Linked DNA regions of Caenorhabditis elegans. The protein of the gene in region 1 purifies or fractionates together with the protein of each later gene. This does not show direct contact. Each region holds a gene or a part of one and is shown on either strand. Other genes may lie near its edges.

What was found. The genes of interacting proteins can lie anywhere in the genome.
Region 2: the proteins of AH9.6 (region 1) and C01G10.10 fractionate together in Caenorhabditis elegans (co-fractionation; one large-scale study listed by BioGRID). This does not show direct contact.

The regions. Positions count from the first base shown.
Region 1 is NC_003284.9:2,261,473-2,271,108, reverse strand, and holds AH9.6 (uncharacterized protein), read left to right. Parts: upstream 1-2,970; 5' UTR 2,971-3,063; coding exon 3,064-3,183; intron 3,184-5,268; coding exon 5,269-5,372; intron 5,373-5,416; coding exon 5,417-5,469; intron 5,470-5,522; coding exon 5,523-5,662; intron 5,663-6,766; coding exon 6,767-6,838; intron 6,839-6,887; coding exon 6,888-6,951; intron 6,952-7,012; coding exon 7,013-7,078; intron 7,079-7,124; coding exon 7,125-7,230; intron 7,231-7,584; coding exon 7,585-7,735; 3' UTR 7,736-7,943; downstream 7,944-9,636.
Region 2 is NC_003283.11:15,078,381-15,084,539, reverse strand, and holds C01G10.10 (putative tRNA N6-adenosine threonylcarbamoyltransferase, mitochondrial), read left to right. Parts: upstream 1-2,098; 5' UTR 2,099-2,119; coding exon 2,120-2,211; intron 2,212-2,265; coding exon 2,266-2,389; intron 2,390-2,433; coding exon 2,434-2,582; intron 2,583-2,634; coding exon 2,635-2,798; intron 2,799-2,918; coding exon 2,919-3,205; intron 3,206-3,823; coding exon 3,824-3,950; intron 3,951-4,000; coding exon 4,001-4,115; intron 4,116-4,164; coding exon 4,165-4,372; 3' UTR 4,373-4,406; downstream 4,407-6,159. Other genes in the region: ahsa-1 (Activator of Hsp90 ATPase AHSA1-like N-terminal domain-containing protein), read left to right, coding at 1-160, 211-342; C01G10.9 (Methylthioribose-1-phosphate isomerase), read right to left, coding at 499-891, 937-1,234, 1,290-1,584, 1,639-1,753; UNC-76, read right to left, coding at 4,828-4,922, 5,819-6,030, 6,086-6,159. UniProt on the Caenorhabditis elegans protein: Required for the formation of a threonylcarbamoyl group on adenosine at position 37 (t(6)A37) in mitochondrial tRNAs that read codons beginning with adenine.

The DNA of each region.
Region 1 (9,636 bases):
CTCCTTTCTCAAATCACTCAAATTCCGCATTTTCAACGTGTAAGCCAAACAAAAATTGTGCAAAAAAAATAATTGAAAACAAATTAATAATGTGTTATAAAAATAAATTATTTGCTGGTTTCTGATAGCTTCCGTCAACATGCAAGGTGTACATGACTATAAAGAGTTTTCAATTCATACTCATCCATCTTCAAATCGTGCAGTTGGAATATTTTTAGATGAGTAATTAATTGAGATCAATTCAGAAATAAAATAGAGTCGCCTAGCTTGATAAATTGCTTACTAATAGTAAGCACGGCAAACTTTTTATGCCAAAAACAGAATTCTAGGAAATTGTTCGAAAGTTTGCTGATGTAAATTGAAACTTTTGTAATACACTGGTACTGATTATTTTCGAGAACTAAAATTCAAAAAAAAAAGTTTATTGAGAACATAATCTGAAAGAAAAAATACATTGCAAACTATGACGGCTTTTAGGTTCCTTTTTGTGAAACAACGCTATGATCTACAGCATTCTTCGAATATTGCTTATTTGATAAAGAAACTGAAATTTTTGAAATTTTACAAACAAAGATTCACAGAAAAAATACATGGTTTGCAATGAAACATGAAACATTTTTTACATTTTTTCACAAATATAGTGTGATACCAAAGCAACGACAAGTTTTAGTTATAGGTGAAGTACGTCCAGTGGAAAAATATTTTAAAAAACCATTCCTATGGTATTCAAATAGCCAAACATGCATAATAAAACTTTTCCAAATTTTTGGCAACATTTTTTATTTCAAGTTAGATAGCGGTGAAATGTTTATATATCTGTGGAAATCGCTAATAAAAAAAACGTATTTTTCTTCCAGTTTGAATTATGTTCCAAACTCTTATATTTTAGCAATGTTGGGGTTCAAACATGCGCCAGTGCTTTAGATATTTCGAGAAGTGGCGCAAACTCCGTTTTCGCCATTTTTTGACTTAAAATAAAAATTCTCCAATTTTTGTTCTGAAAAGTTGTACCATGATACTTCCGCACTCCGCCTTTAATTAAACGGAAAAATTCAATGTTTTATAACTTTACAAAATTTATCCTCAAAATCACAATGAATGAAACATTTTCCGAGTTTCATTTTGAATTATTTATTTTATTGTAACAAAACGTGCATTTTAATAACCCTCTTTGCTCCGAAGATGATGGAAAATGTGTTCCCGTCGTTTGAAATAATAAAGTCATTGAACGAAAAACGTTTACCTCTGCTTATTCCCTTCAAAAAATTTTCTTCGGAAATTTCCTCCAAATTTCCTGTTTTCCACTACTGCTGTGTTATCGTAAAGTTAATATCGAGTTAACATTAGTTGGTACTTACAAAAGCAATAAATGGTTCGGTTCATTGTGAATGTGGCTTCTTTGTCGTTTTCTTGTGGAAAATTGCTTTCCTTCTTTTAGGAGTCTCCGACTGCACAATGACTTTACAGGAAATTATTTTTCGGCCCGGTTTTTTTTGTCTTGCAAAGCTTCTAAAAACCTGGAGCTAAAAGTGTTTCGTTGGATTTAGTTAGAACGAGTCAAAATGAGTATGTGTAAAAGAGATGAACAGACTACGTTGCGGAATTTTTTTTTTGAAGACGCGTACGAGCCTGACTTCCGTCCCCTCTTGAATTTCGTTGGTGCTTTGTGGTTTGTAGTAAGTGCATCAGAGACACGCCAATAAAAGCGAAGAGTGCTCTAAAATGACATGGAGTACCTTTACCTCCGTGCTGGATTGAATTACACTTGAGAATTGGAAGAGAGCACAACTACATCTGGTTCCTAATCACAAGCGTGCTTTTTCAAATGCACTTTATTTGCAGGTGCCCTCCCCGTGAGTTATGAAATTCAACAGCAGCGCGAGTTGCAATCTTTCAGAGAGCACATTTTCTTGAGATCTCCCTCGGGAAGACTAGGCAACGCCCGTCTCAAATGAAGCTTTAGATGAGATGACGTATAGTGTGTTGCCAAGTGAGTTTTCACTTTTTAAAATAAAATTGAAGCATGGAAAAAAATAAATGGACCAGATAAAATTTGATTCGGTTTTGTCCAAAAAACTGCAGAAACATTTCTGAAATTCTAGGCGTGAGAGAGAGAGAGTACACAGTAATGAATAATTCAACATTCTCAGTATATGGGGTGAAATTTGAGTAAATATTTGAAACACTACTTTGGGATCTTGACTTCTACAAATTTTGAATGGAATACCTCGAGAATTTATTTGTGATACTGAATGAATGTAGGTACTTTCAAGGTAAACCTGCACCAAATATGTTTATCATTTTTAAAATTCAACGTAATTTTTTAGTTTTAGTATTAGTGTTTTCTTAACCTGAGAATGCAAATCAATTTCCCATTTTGATTAAATTATCAGGTGAGTGGAAATTGAAAAAAATTTCTGAGACAGGTACCAAAAAAACTGAATCCCTGTATTTGGAAGATAGATCACTCCTTTTCTGAAAGATCTTGTGTTTTCGCGTCAGAAATATTTACAATCATTAACTCGTCTTTCCATTAATATTCATGAGTACTCAACTTTATTACTACCCAATACATCACTTCCAAAAACTTGGTCTCTAGCTATAAAAAGTGCGAAGTATGAAGAAAATGAAAAAAGGAAAGGAAAGACGCACTTCTCTAAGAAAAAAACTCAATTAAGCAACCTGGACTTGTCACTGAGAACAAGGACAAGAGCAAGAACAAGTATCGAAATAGAATGTTTGTACGTACGTTAATCGTGAATTCTCTTAGTGTGTGGCGTACCCCTTGGGAGAAATGTTTTCAAGTCCAGTGTTCACTACTATAAGCTTCCCCCCGTTTTCCTATTGCCCAATGTCTCCTAGCCTCCTCAGTCGGCGCCAAAGTGGGCGGAGCGCATTGGCGGCGCTGCCTGCGCGCGCTTCGGACACGACCGTCGTCGGGCGAAGCACACAGAGAGCAACTCCTCGGGTTTTGGTGAATCAGTCGGTCGCCGCCGCCGTCGTCGTTTTTGGCAGAGCATATTATTGGTGTGGAGCACACAATGTCCTAACTCTCATGGCAATATGATGCGCAAGCTACTCGTCATCTGCCTTCTGACGGTCTATGCCCAAGGGGGTCAGATTCCTGTGCCTCCCATATTTTCACCATGCAACTTCCCATCTCCGATCACCGAACCTAGTTTTGTGAGTTCAACTTTTTCATGTTTTATTTTTTTATTTGCTGAACTTTAAAATCTCCCCTCAACTTTTAAGAACCAAAAAAGCTTTAGCTTCAAATTTCCAATTTCTTTTCTAGAAAAACTGAGGTAGGAAGAATGAGAAAAAAGGAAAAATAATTAGCATTGTTCGTTCTGAAAATGCAAAAATAAGATAAATTATACATTCCCTCTGTTTTGCCCTAGGAGGGGTAGCCTTCGTTCCATGTGCCCCACAAATCACTCAAGCGTTCGTAAACCTTGCAATTAGAAACCCAATTATTTTTTGCTGCTCAGTATTGCTTTATTGTTTATATATATATATATATATTTTTTCTGCGCCGTATCCTACTTTTTTCCACTATACTTCTCCTCCTTTCTCCTTTTTCTATATACTTTGCGAAAAGTTGAACGGCCCTCCAAAACTCGTCGAGGAAGAAGGATGAGAAAGGAAAGCCGCGTGGAAAAGACGAAGACGTCGTGCTTTTTTTTTCTATTTGCATATTGAGCATTTGCTCATCCTTATGAAACCAATCAAGTGAAAGACAATCGTTGTTTTTTTTGTGTCCGTAGTCTTAGATTTACTCTGGCGATATCCGGAAGAATGACGAATTTCGAGTTTTTTTTTCAGAGATTTAATTGTGCACTAGAGGGAGGAAACCCCATAGTTTCGAACTTTTGACTTGTGATTCAAAATTTGACACTCAAATTTTAAAGTCAAGACCTACCCGGTGAACTGCGTGAACGACATTAGTCATTCTTGTGGTCTCCTTTGGAAACCACAAGGTGAACAACATCGTCTCGCCGCCCCGTAAACGCAATTTGTGAAAGCCGAAAAACTCAAACTCCTTTTCTCTTTTGTATTGAAAACCACAAATAGAAGAAAAGGAAATTCCTCGGCGACAACAAAAAAGAAATTGTGTCCCCCCTCCCTGCCTTTCTTCTGCTTATGCTTCCTTCCAGGTTGCTCAAGGACCCTCGTTTATTGTGTCGCAAAAAGTTCACAATTTTTTTTTGAAGGACTGAGGAGCCGAAAAACTTTGTGAAAAGAAGAGTTTGATCTGAAATCAACAATTGTCAAAATTGTCAAAAACATTTTGCAAACTCCCTAAACTTCTTGAGATTTATAGAAAAAACCTGAAATGTATTTTTAGCATAGGAGTAATTTTGATTCTCCTCCAAATTGTCAGCTCATCTCTGTAGACCAAAAAAAAAAGTTATGCAGACAAAAAGGCACGCGACTCAAAAAAAATGATATATACATACACATGTATTTATTTGACGTCTTCCATCATATTTTATTGTGAAAAGGAAAGAAACGACCACCACATCCATTTTAGTTGATGCGAGCCATGTGAAACACTTGTCAAGCATATATTCATGAAAAAAGTCACTACGTACTCAAAACCCGACAGAATATGTTATGCATATGTGAGGAAGGTCACGGGGGTGAAATTGTAAATTTCTACTACATATTAAGAACGTTACAAAGCAAATAAATTTGCAGTAGTAAGTTACAACAGTGACCTTTGGAAAAATTATTCAATTTTCCGTATTTTCCCTATTAAAATCGCAACGGGGCTCTTTTTTATCGGCCTATGCCGCGGTTAATTTTCACGGTATTAAAATGAGTACCGTCACTAATTTTAAGGTCCTTTTTGAATGCAGCACTATTAGAGACTGCAGTACTGATTTTCAAAAACCTCTTTTCAGTTGTAGATCACTAGCTCTCAGTCACAAAAACTCATATTTTAGGCCTGAATTTAATATTTAATTTTTTAAATTCATTTTGTGAATTAACAAAGAATCATTAAAACATGTTCAGAAAAAGTTTCCAAAATGTCGAAACTAATGAGGTTTCACAAAAAAAAATTGCAATAAAAAAAGGGTTGCCGCATGAATTGAAAATATACGGTATCTACAAGACTATAGGAAAATAAATTGGAATTTATTTTCTCAGATGACAAAGGACAAATCTATATTTGATTCAACAGTTCGCGAATTTTTAATTTTGATTTCAAAAATTAAATATATATTCTGTTTCTGCAACTCATTCAAATCTACCTAATTTCAGCACCGATCGGTTTGCTACACAATTCCTCGACTTCCGTTTGTGTGCGATCTTCATCACCAACTGGCTTACACAAATGTTTATGGAATTGAAAAAGCTTATAATAAGTATAAACAATTCTTTTTTTTCAATCTTAACACCCAATTTTCAGGTATCGATCACTCTTCACAAACGGCAATACTTCAACACTTGCCGTCATAATCAGTTGAGAAATACACCTGCCTCTCTCTTGTCCAACGAAATTATATTTTTTCCAGCAAAACAACTGGAGCAGCCTGCTTCTGCAAATGATGTCATGAAAAAAACCGAGTACGCTTGTCTCTTTGATAACGAATGCGACCAGATTGACGGGGACATGGTGACTGGAATTGTCGGAAATGTGCGGAAGTTCCTACGGGTAGGTCGGTGTGGTCGGAGGTTTCAAAAAGTATACGTTTTTAGCGGGAGGGGGGAGGGGGTTAGTCCAAAGTTGAGCTTGCAAAGTGGGGACAGGAAGGGGAACTGAATCATTATGAGCCAATTTTCTATCACGTTTTCCACATTGCACGCAAGTATCGCTCTTTTTTTGGGTGAAGTGGTTGCAGTGCGCAAAGTGGGCACATCTTCAACACGTGCTAGAAATGATGAATCTTGAGTTGAGGGACTCTCAGAATGTAGCAAAACGTTTTCTGAGAAAAATACTTCCTGCGTGAGATACAAAAACGAAATTGAATGCAGTGCTAAACGGTTTCCAATAAAATCTATTTTTGAAGAATGGAGTTCACAAAATAAAAATATTCAGATATCTCAGTAAATCCCCATGTATAGACTTAATGTATAGATTCAAAATGTGCTCAAATGAACTAACTTCGTTATAAAACTTTTTTTTTTAATTTATAATTTTTTCTGACGGTTAAAGATTTAAAAAAAAAATCAGCTAATTTTAGATGCAATCTTAAATTTTGCAAACTTTTTTGTGGCACCTAGATGTGATAAAGATTGCACATTGAATTTCATAAGATTTTATTTTTATTAACTGTATAATTCGGTCTTTATATATTAATTTAGGTAAATTTTAAGGATTATAATAAAATAAACATTAATTTCCGACAGCTGTGACATGGGAAATTTTGCAAAATTTAGGGTTTCAGCTAGCATTAGCACAATTGTTTGAAAACATTTTTAACCGTTTTGAAAAGTTTTTGGGAAGCTTTTGATAAGTCTCATATTGATATTTGATTTGTTTAGAAAAACTTGTTATTTAAAATATAGCAACACTTTTAAAATATAGCAACACTTTTAAAATATAGCAACAATTTAGTTCTCCTTCAACGGCAAATTTACAGATCAATTTTATGAGGAAAAATATTTTGGTGAAATAGCATTGCAGTTATTCTAATCGAAAAAATACGGTATGGCAAATTATTGCGGACTGGTTTTAAAAAAAGCTTCAATGATAATAAGATGCAGAAGCTGTGATATTCGTGTGTACTTGGCTGAAATCAAAAATTGTATATTTCAGGTTTATTCGTGGAAAGTATATGAGCGATGGTTTGGTGTCGGAGAATCTTGCACCAAGACAAATTTGCTAGCGGTAAGTGATGCCATTCTATCCATTCACTCCTTCCAAATATGTTTTCCAGCTTGTTGTAATCGATGGAGTTGTGAATGACGCCAGAAAAATTCCATACGTGAGATTGCACACAGGTACATTTCAAACTCGAGCAAAACTCAAAACTTATGACTTCGATCAACTCAATTATTCCAGGCTCACATCGTCTTCGAATGTTACTTCCAAACATACAAAGTGAAGTCAACAATGCGTTGGTGCAAGGTACGCGCATAACTGAATGCTAACCAGAAACGGTGTATTGTTTAAGGCTGGCCACTAGCAAAGGTTATCGAGGATCTGGTGGATGATGTGGGATATGCACTGAAAGATTATTACGAGCTGAACGGTGAACAGAGAGATCATTCCGTTCCAATGTAAGTTATTGGAGCTGATTCTTGGTTGTGAAGGGGATATGGTTTGGGAAAACAGCCTTGGAATAGTGTAGGTATGGTATCGGTGTGGTATCGGTGTGGTATCGGTGTGGTATAGGTATGGCAAAGGTATGTTATAGGTATGGCAAAGGTATGTTATAGGTATGGCAAAGGTATGTTATAGGTATGGTATAGGTATGGTATAGGTATGGTATAGGTATGGTATAGGTATGGTATAGGTATGGTATAGGTATGGTATAGGTATGGTATAGGTATGGTATAGGTATGGTATAGGTATGGTATAGGTATGGTATAGGTATGGTATAGGTATGGAAAATATATTTTCAATCATTTCAGGTGGGCACGAAACCTATTTCTGGTCTGCTTGGCACTTGTCATCACTGCTCTTCTTGTCGAGTGGTACGTGGTGAGAAGGAAAATCGGAGTGCAAAAAAGTGGATCCATTAAGATTGCGTCAGGAAAGAGCAAAACACATCTCATGTTCTAATGTTCGTAGTGTCATATCTGAAACTTTTGTACATTTATTTTTATGTAATTGTTTTCAATCTCTCTCATTCGGGTTTACGGTGATTTTTTTTTTCAAATTTTCACTGCTAGAGTCAACGATCAATAATAGTTGACTGTTTAACTTGTATTTCTTATTTTTTTAAGGTTTATTTTTTCAACAAAATAAAGTGAAGAATATTTTCCAAATTTGAAAAGTTTGAATAATAAAAATAAAATCGTCTTTGTTTATATAAACAAAACTTAATATATTCGGTGCCTATTTTGAGCTGACTAATCTTCTATATAAAGGGGCCTAGCTCCATTGGGGAATTTTTCTGGGGATTTTCTCAAAATTCACTTATATGATTCCAAAGCGGCCGAATATCATAATAAACCACTCACATTTTTAGTCAACGTTTTGGCAAGTTACCATCATTTTTGAATGTCGTATGGAATGTTTTAACAGAAAAAAAACCAAATTAAAATTAAAATATGAAAATCGTAGAAAGTTTTTTTTGTTGATTTCCAAAATCATAAGGGACAAAAACTGGGTAATTGCTACACTTCGTTAATAAATAAAACATTTCTAATTTTTTTGAAAAGTTGTTCTATGATATGATATTTGGTTATTTTAGCACCATAGGAGTAGTATTAAACCTTTAAACATTTATTCACCACTTATCAAAAACAAACAATGTTGTTTTTATTTTTCACCTAGTCTCTATAATTCCTACTTTTACGCAAAGAATCAAAACATCTCTAGACTCTTATCTTTCCCACTTTTCCTCTTCATGCTCGAAGAAAAGACACTACATAAAATTGATAATGATAAAATATTGAATCAATGTTTATTGTTCATCAATTCCACTGTTTTTTCTCATTTATTAGCATAAAATGTTACTACTTTCCCGGCTGCAACTACGGTAAGCGGTATCCAGCCGATGTTTTCAATACTGCATTTGAATACACGTGCACGGATAACGCTCATTGTTTTTCGCATGCCAATTTCACAAATGGAAAGTGAGTTTTCGAAATGCAATAATATTTTAAATATTTCGTTTGAAAAGATTTTTATGTTAAGATAGCATGCAAAAGCTTATGGTAAAACCACACATATCTAGTGGATTTCTTTAACATTGAGAGATGTATTGAGGATATTTTCTCTCACGTGAATATTTTATATTCCCTCATAATTCTGAACAAAAGCCACGAACTCAACGTCTACTGCCGCTATATATTTGAAAAACGTGCTTTTCAGTTTAGTTTTCAAGTTTTTCATAGTTTTTTAAAGATAAAGTACGGTCAGTGGGGAAATAATCGATGTTAAAATAATTATGTATCATAACAAAACACTTCAAAAAAGTTTTTCAATTTGTTTCAAAAAGTGTTAACTACTGCTTGTCATTGTTTTGGAAGTCATCTCTCAAAATTTTTTTTTTGATTTTTATGGTCTATTTATGTTTCTAAAAATAAATATTCAGAACAGGGTAAGCGGCAAACTGGGCAAATGGGCAAATTGCCGGTTTGCCGATTTGCCGGAAGATGTTTGCTTACTTCTCAAAATAGATGAAGGAACATTCACAGGATGCGTACAATTTTGCCGCTTAAAATTGAAATTCCGAAATTTCTAAAAAAAAATGTGCGAGACCACAACTTTCCGAAAGTATTCGGCAATTCCGGCAATTTTCCGACTTGTCGGAAATTTCAATTCCGGCAATTTGCCAATTAGCTAGAAAAATCGTTTGCCACCCACCCCTGATTCTAACACTGTGTGAATTCGAACATTCGATATTGCTAAATTTTTGTAAAAAACTGCCAAAAACTGAAGATTTGCCAATTTCTTACTCTCAACGAAAACGATACGAAAATTTTTTGAAAATTTTTACTATGATTTATTTTTGC
Region 2 (6,159 bases), on another chromosome or scaffold:
GTGGAATTTCAAGGAAGGAGGATCATTTGCATTGTTCGGGGAAAACGTGACTGGAACATTCGAGAAGATTGAGCCGAACAAGGAGATTGTGAAGAAATGGCGACTGAAAAAGTATCCAAACAATCATCATGCAACCATCCATTTCCAGTTGAAAGATACTGTAAGTTTTAGAACAAACGAGGATAAACCTTCTATTATAATAAATTCTAGGGATCTGGAACGGATATCAAAATCATCGCTAAAGATGTTCCAACTCATCTCGCTGAAGAAACTCAACAAGGACTCGATCGTTACTACCTTTCAAGCATTGGTCGTACTTTCGGATTCAGCCAGCGAATGTGAAAAAATGAAAAATTGCAAATCTCCTGTTTTTGATGTTCTCCGATCTTCTAAACCGCTTTCTCAATTTATTTATTTTATATCAATCTGTGTTTGTGTTCTAAATTTAGTGATAATATTTTCATAAATTCAACAGATTCTGTTCAAAAACAAACAAAATTATTTAGGAATCTGCTGCTCGAGCATTTCAGGCGGCCAGTTTCCGAAATCCGTCAAAATTTTCGTGATGAGATGCGCCGGCGTGACATCAAATGCTGGATTCCAAACCGGACATTCAGAATTTCCGATTAAAACTCCATTTACTCGAAGCATCTCTGCAGATGGTCGTTCTTCAATTTTAATCTCCTCCCCGGTTGCAATATTCTTATTGATCGTCGTGAATGGAACAACCGGATAGAAGTTGATGTTGTGATGTTTGCAGAGGACAGCAAGCATATAGGTTCCGATTTTGTTAGCCGTATCGCCGTTTCTTGCAACATTATCGGCTCCGGTGAGCACACAATCCACCTGGTGATTCTTCATTGCCCATGCTGCCATTGAATCAGTGATCAGCTAGAAAATCTGGATTTTTAAAAGATAATCAGTATTTAGCATTACCTTGAACGGCACCTCACCATGAAGAAGCTCTATGGAAGTCAACCTAATTCCTTGATTATAGGGTCTCGTCTCCAAAACGTAAACCAATTTCAGACGGTTTTCAGAATGAAGAGCCCGAATGACTCCGAGAGCAGTACCCCAGGATATTGTAGCCAAGCTTCCTGTGTTGCAGATCGTCATTACCGTAAGCTTCTCCTTGTCAGGGAATGCCGAGAGAAGCTCTTGATAAGCGTTCCAGACGAGAATTCTATTTTGAAGCTTTTCATCCGTATACACGTTGAGAAGATAACTGCGGCATCTGTTGGAGAATTAATTGCGATTATTTGGAATTATTTTTGAAATTTAAAACTCACTTCTCAAGCTTAACCACATCCGAATAGTCTTGAGACTCTAAAATTGGTTTCAAGCCGTTCAAAGAATTTCTCAAATCAACTGCAGTTGGTCTTGAGCTTATCAAAAAATTAATTTTCTGAATAATACTTTCAGAATCAAGCTCAGAAGCCTTTTGGATTTCCAGGAGCAGTCCGAGACTTCCGACAACTGCAATAAGTGGAGCTCCGCGTACTTGCATTGATTTTATAACTGCAAAAGCGTCAGAGACACCTTCAACCGGGATGTACTTGAATTCATGTGGAAGTAGGAGTTGATCTGGATTTTATTTTACTAGAACTATGCTTTATAAGATGATATTTCTGAACTTACCAAGGACTTCCAAATTGGTTCCATCAAACTTCAGAGAATCCAATCTTTTCGACTCGTCGAATAAAAATGAATCAGGAATAGGCCCGTTTACAATTTTATTGATTTTTGAGGTCATTGTCGTAAAATAGCAGCAGATACCTAGAGCTAAATGAATTGCAGAGCGCAAATTGTCTGTGCAGCGTTTTCCAGATGATAAGATAAGCGAAAGTGTAGACTGGAAGTGAGCAAAACGTGAGCACAAGTCGAAAAGTTGTGGAAGAGGATGTATTTATTTATGGAAATATTGTCAATGTTTCATTGCTATATTCTCAAGTCAATTTATTGATGAGATTTATTTAAATCTTCTTCGTGGTTACGGTTTTAACGCCGAATGGCCTAACTTCTGCGCATGCGGCCTAGAATCCGACAACCGTGTACTCCTCCTAGACAATTGCAGAGAATATTTTTTATTAAGGTTTTTTATTCAATTTCTCCATCTAAAATGAATATTCCGAAAATTCTGAACAACAATTTAGTTTTAAAGCGAATTTTTTGTCGAAATTACTCCGTTAAAGTGCTAGGAATTGAAACAAGGTAAGGAATATATAAGCAATAGAGTTCAAAAAATTAAAATCATTAAATTTTCAGTTGTGACGATACTGCAGTAGCAATTGTCAACGAGAAACGAGAGATTTTATCTTCAGAGCGGTACACAGAACGGGCGATTCAGAGACAACAAGGCGGGATTAATCCTTCAGTCTGCGCACTTCAAGTAGGATTCTTCTTCAGAATTTACTTGAAATGAAATATTTCCAGCACCGTGAGAACCTTCCAAGGCTTATAGAAAAGTGTCTGAACGACGCTGGAACATCACCGAAAGATCTGGATGCAGTAGCGGTTACAGTAACGCCTGGATTAGTTATTGCACTTAAAGAGGGAATTTCAGCGGCGATTGGATTTGCAAAGTATGATACTATGAATATTTAAAATTTTCGAATATTGATTTTTCCTGTTCAGAAAACATCGTCTTCCACTGATTCCAGTTCATCATATGAGAGCCCATGCTCTGTCAATTCTTCTCGTCGATGATTCAGTGCGATTTCCATTTTCAGCAGTTCTTCTTTCGGGTGGTCATGCATTGATTTCTGTTGCAGAAGATGTCGAGAAATTCAAATTGTACGGTATGAGGATTGAAATATTTGAAAAAAAAACTTATTACTCATTGTCGCTACATGGCACGAAATTTTATTTTTAAACTTCTCTCAAAACATAAAATACTATAAATTTTTCAAAATTTTCAGGCCAAAGTGTCAGTGGAAGCCCGGGCGAGTGCATTGACAAAGTTGCGCGGCAGCTTGGAGATCTTGGATCAGAATTCGATGGGATTCATGTGGGCGCTGCGGTGGAAATTCTAGCCTCTAGAGCCTCTGCTGATGGCCATTTGAGATATCCCATATTTCTTCCAAACGTTCCAAAAGCTAATATGAACTTCGATCAAATCAAAGGATCCTATCTGAATTTGCTGGAAAGATTGAGAAAAAACTCTGAAACATCAATTGATATTCCAGATTTTTGTGCTAGCCTTCAGGTGTGTGAAGAACCAAGAAGAGACTTCGAAATTGTTTTTGACGCTTTTTCCAAAAAAAAAAAAACTTATTCTAAAATGCAGTTTTCTATCAGAAAAAAATCTTTAAATTATACAGAAACCACCAAAAAAATCAAAAAATTAAAGCCTATAAAAAATTGAAAAAAAAACTTTTTTTCGATTTTTTAAAATCATTGTTCAAGCCTTTTGAATACTTTTCAATGTTTTTTGAGTTATTTTCTATAATTTCTGTCTCTGTAATTTTTTCACTAAAACTATCAGAGAATCTCAAAAAATTAGTGTTTCAAAAAATAAATCCGAAAAAAATAATTTATCTAAAAAAACGGAAAATCGATGTTTCCAAAAAATCGTTTTTGCAATAAAACGAACCAAAAATCTCATATTTTCAAAAAACCAAAAAAAAAAGATTTTTCTTAAAAATAAATCAAAAAATCCTTTTTTTTTAATTAAAAAAATCCAAATTCTGGTTAAAAAAAAAACGGTTAAATTATTTGTTTCAAAAATAACTCTTACTTTTCCTAAATCGACATTATTAGAGCATTTATTAGGAGTTTCGACAGTTTCGACGAACGTTTTTTTTTCTATAAAAAATTATTTCAGAACACCGTAGCCCGACATATCTCGAGCAAACTTCACATCTTCTTCGAAAGTCTCTCCGAGCAGGAAAAACTTCCAAAACAGCTGGTGATCGGCGGCGGAGTGGCGGCGAATCAGTACATTTTTGGAGGTTTTTTTTTAATAGAAGTATCAGAAAAAGCTAAAACTTTAATATTTCAGCAATCTCAAAACTATCAGCTGCTCACAATGTCACAACCATCAAAGTCCTCTTGTCCCTTTGCACAGACAATGCCGAAATGATCGCCTACAGTGGCCTTCTGATGCTCGTCAATCGGTCCTTTAGCCCCCACCAACTCTATAATTAACTATTCGAATTCTTGCAGATCGGAGGCAATTTGGTGGCGACCGAATGACATTCCTGACACAATTTATGCACACGCTAGAAGCGATATTGGGACGGATGCTTCTTCGGAAATCATTGATACACCGCGTCGGAAACTGGTGACATCCACGATCCATGGCACCGAGCGGATACGATTCCGGAATCTGGATGATTTTAAGAAGCCTAAAAGCCCTAAAACAACTGAATGAAGAAAATTTTCTAATAAAAAATGCACATAATTTTATATGACTGTGTTTGTAGAAAAAAACGAAATAAGAACAAGAAAAGAAGCACAAGCAAAAACATTAATGATCATCAGTAGAGAGAGAGAGAGATTCCGGGATTGTAGAGAATTTGAGTATGGACTTTTTGTTGGCAGGTGCAATTGGGAGGGGGGCACAACTAGAATTTGTGTCATTCATTGGGTTTTCAGAGAGTCAAGAAGCTTTTTGAATTAACATGGAAAGGAAAGAGAAGGGGGTTTTTTGGAAAGCAGCTGTGGAGAGAGAGAATACGATTTTTTTTGGACTATTTTTTTTTAAAGCTGTATCACACAATTTTCAAAAACAGAACGGAAAACTTTTAAATTGTAGAATAGAAAGAAGAAGAAGAACAAGTAGATGGGGGAAAATGACTAGTATGGAATGGCGAAGGGTGGCAATGGCTAACACGATATATTTTTTGGACAGACATGTGTTAAAATGTAGTCTGTCAGCAGGGTGGGTACTGTCGTATTGTCATCGTGGATTGCGCGGAGAACTGAAAAAAACCATTTATTTTCAATTTTCAATGACTTTTTGTTCAATTTTTGAGAAATTTTGGCAAAAAGTTAGCAGATTTTGTTTAAATTTGTTTATAACTTTTTTCCGGTTTTTCAAAGGGATATTGAGAGAGAATTTATTTTAAAATTTTCCGGTTTCTCAATTTCCATTTTGCAATATTACCCAGACGCGAAATTAGCACAATTATACGGTACCAGGTCTCGGCACGACAATTTTTGTTAAATACAAACAGGCGTGCGCCTTTAAAGATTACTGTAGCTTCAGGTTTTTTCGATTTTTCATCTTTTTTTTTTACTCCATAACTATATAAATAAAACAATTTAGCAAAATCTTGAGAACAACTTTAAACAATCGCGATTAAAATGTTTGAAACTACAGTAATCCTCACCTTTTCGCATTTAACAACAATTTTCGTCTCGAGACAGTATTTTTTGTACAATATTTTTGACGCAAATTCGCGAAATTAAAAATTTTTTCGATTAATTTCAGGTACAAAAAATCGAGAAAAAAAATTCGAAAATTAAGAATAAAATTCAATTTTTAAAATCAATTTTTTTTTATGGTGATGAGGAAAAACATATAATTTTCTTTTAAAAATATGAAAAATTAGCTAAATTGGGGGCTATTTTTGTTTTTCGAAAAATCGGAGAAACGAAAAACCGAAAAAAAAGTCTTGATTTTCATGGAAAATCCTTTAAAAATCCCCACCGACCCTATTCCACTTCTAACAAGGGGACATAATCCCGAGAAAAACATATTAAAATTCTGTATCTCTTATGCAAATATCTCTTCTTTTTCTCACTAATCAATCAACACACAGCTGATATTCTTTGTCAATTAGATATTTATTTATATCTCTTTTCATCTTCTCACTTTTGATTAGAGACGCAATCGACGCATTATCGATATGTTGATGATCGTTGTACGGAATTGTCGCTGTCAAATATTGTGGCAATTGTGAAGCATCCGACGCCTTTCCGACCTTCCGTTTCCGATCATTAGCGTAAACTCGTCGCTTGTTTTGAATCGCCAGTAATAGTGAAATAAACGAGTTTTTCATCTCTTTTTCGTAGTCCAGCTCATCTCTGAAACAAAAAAACCGAATTCCAGTTTTAGTTCCAAAATTTCCCGAAAACCAACCGATGTGCCAGCTCATCGACCAAACTCTCATTATAAACCCGAATCAGCTGCTCCATTTCCGCGCATAGTGTCAC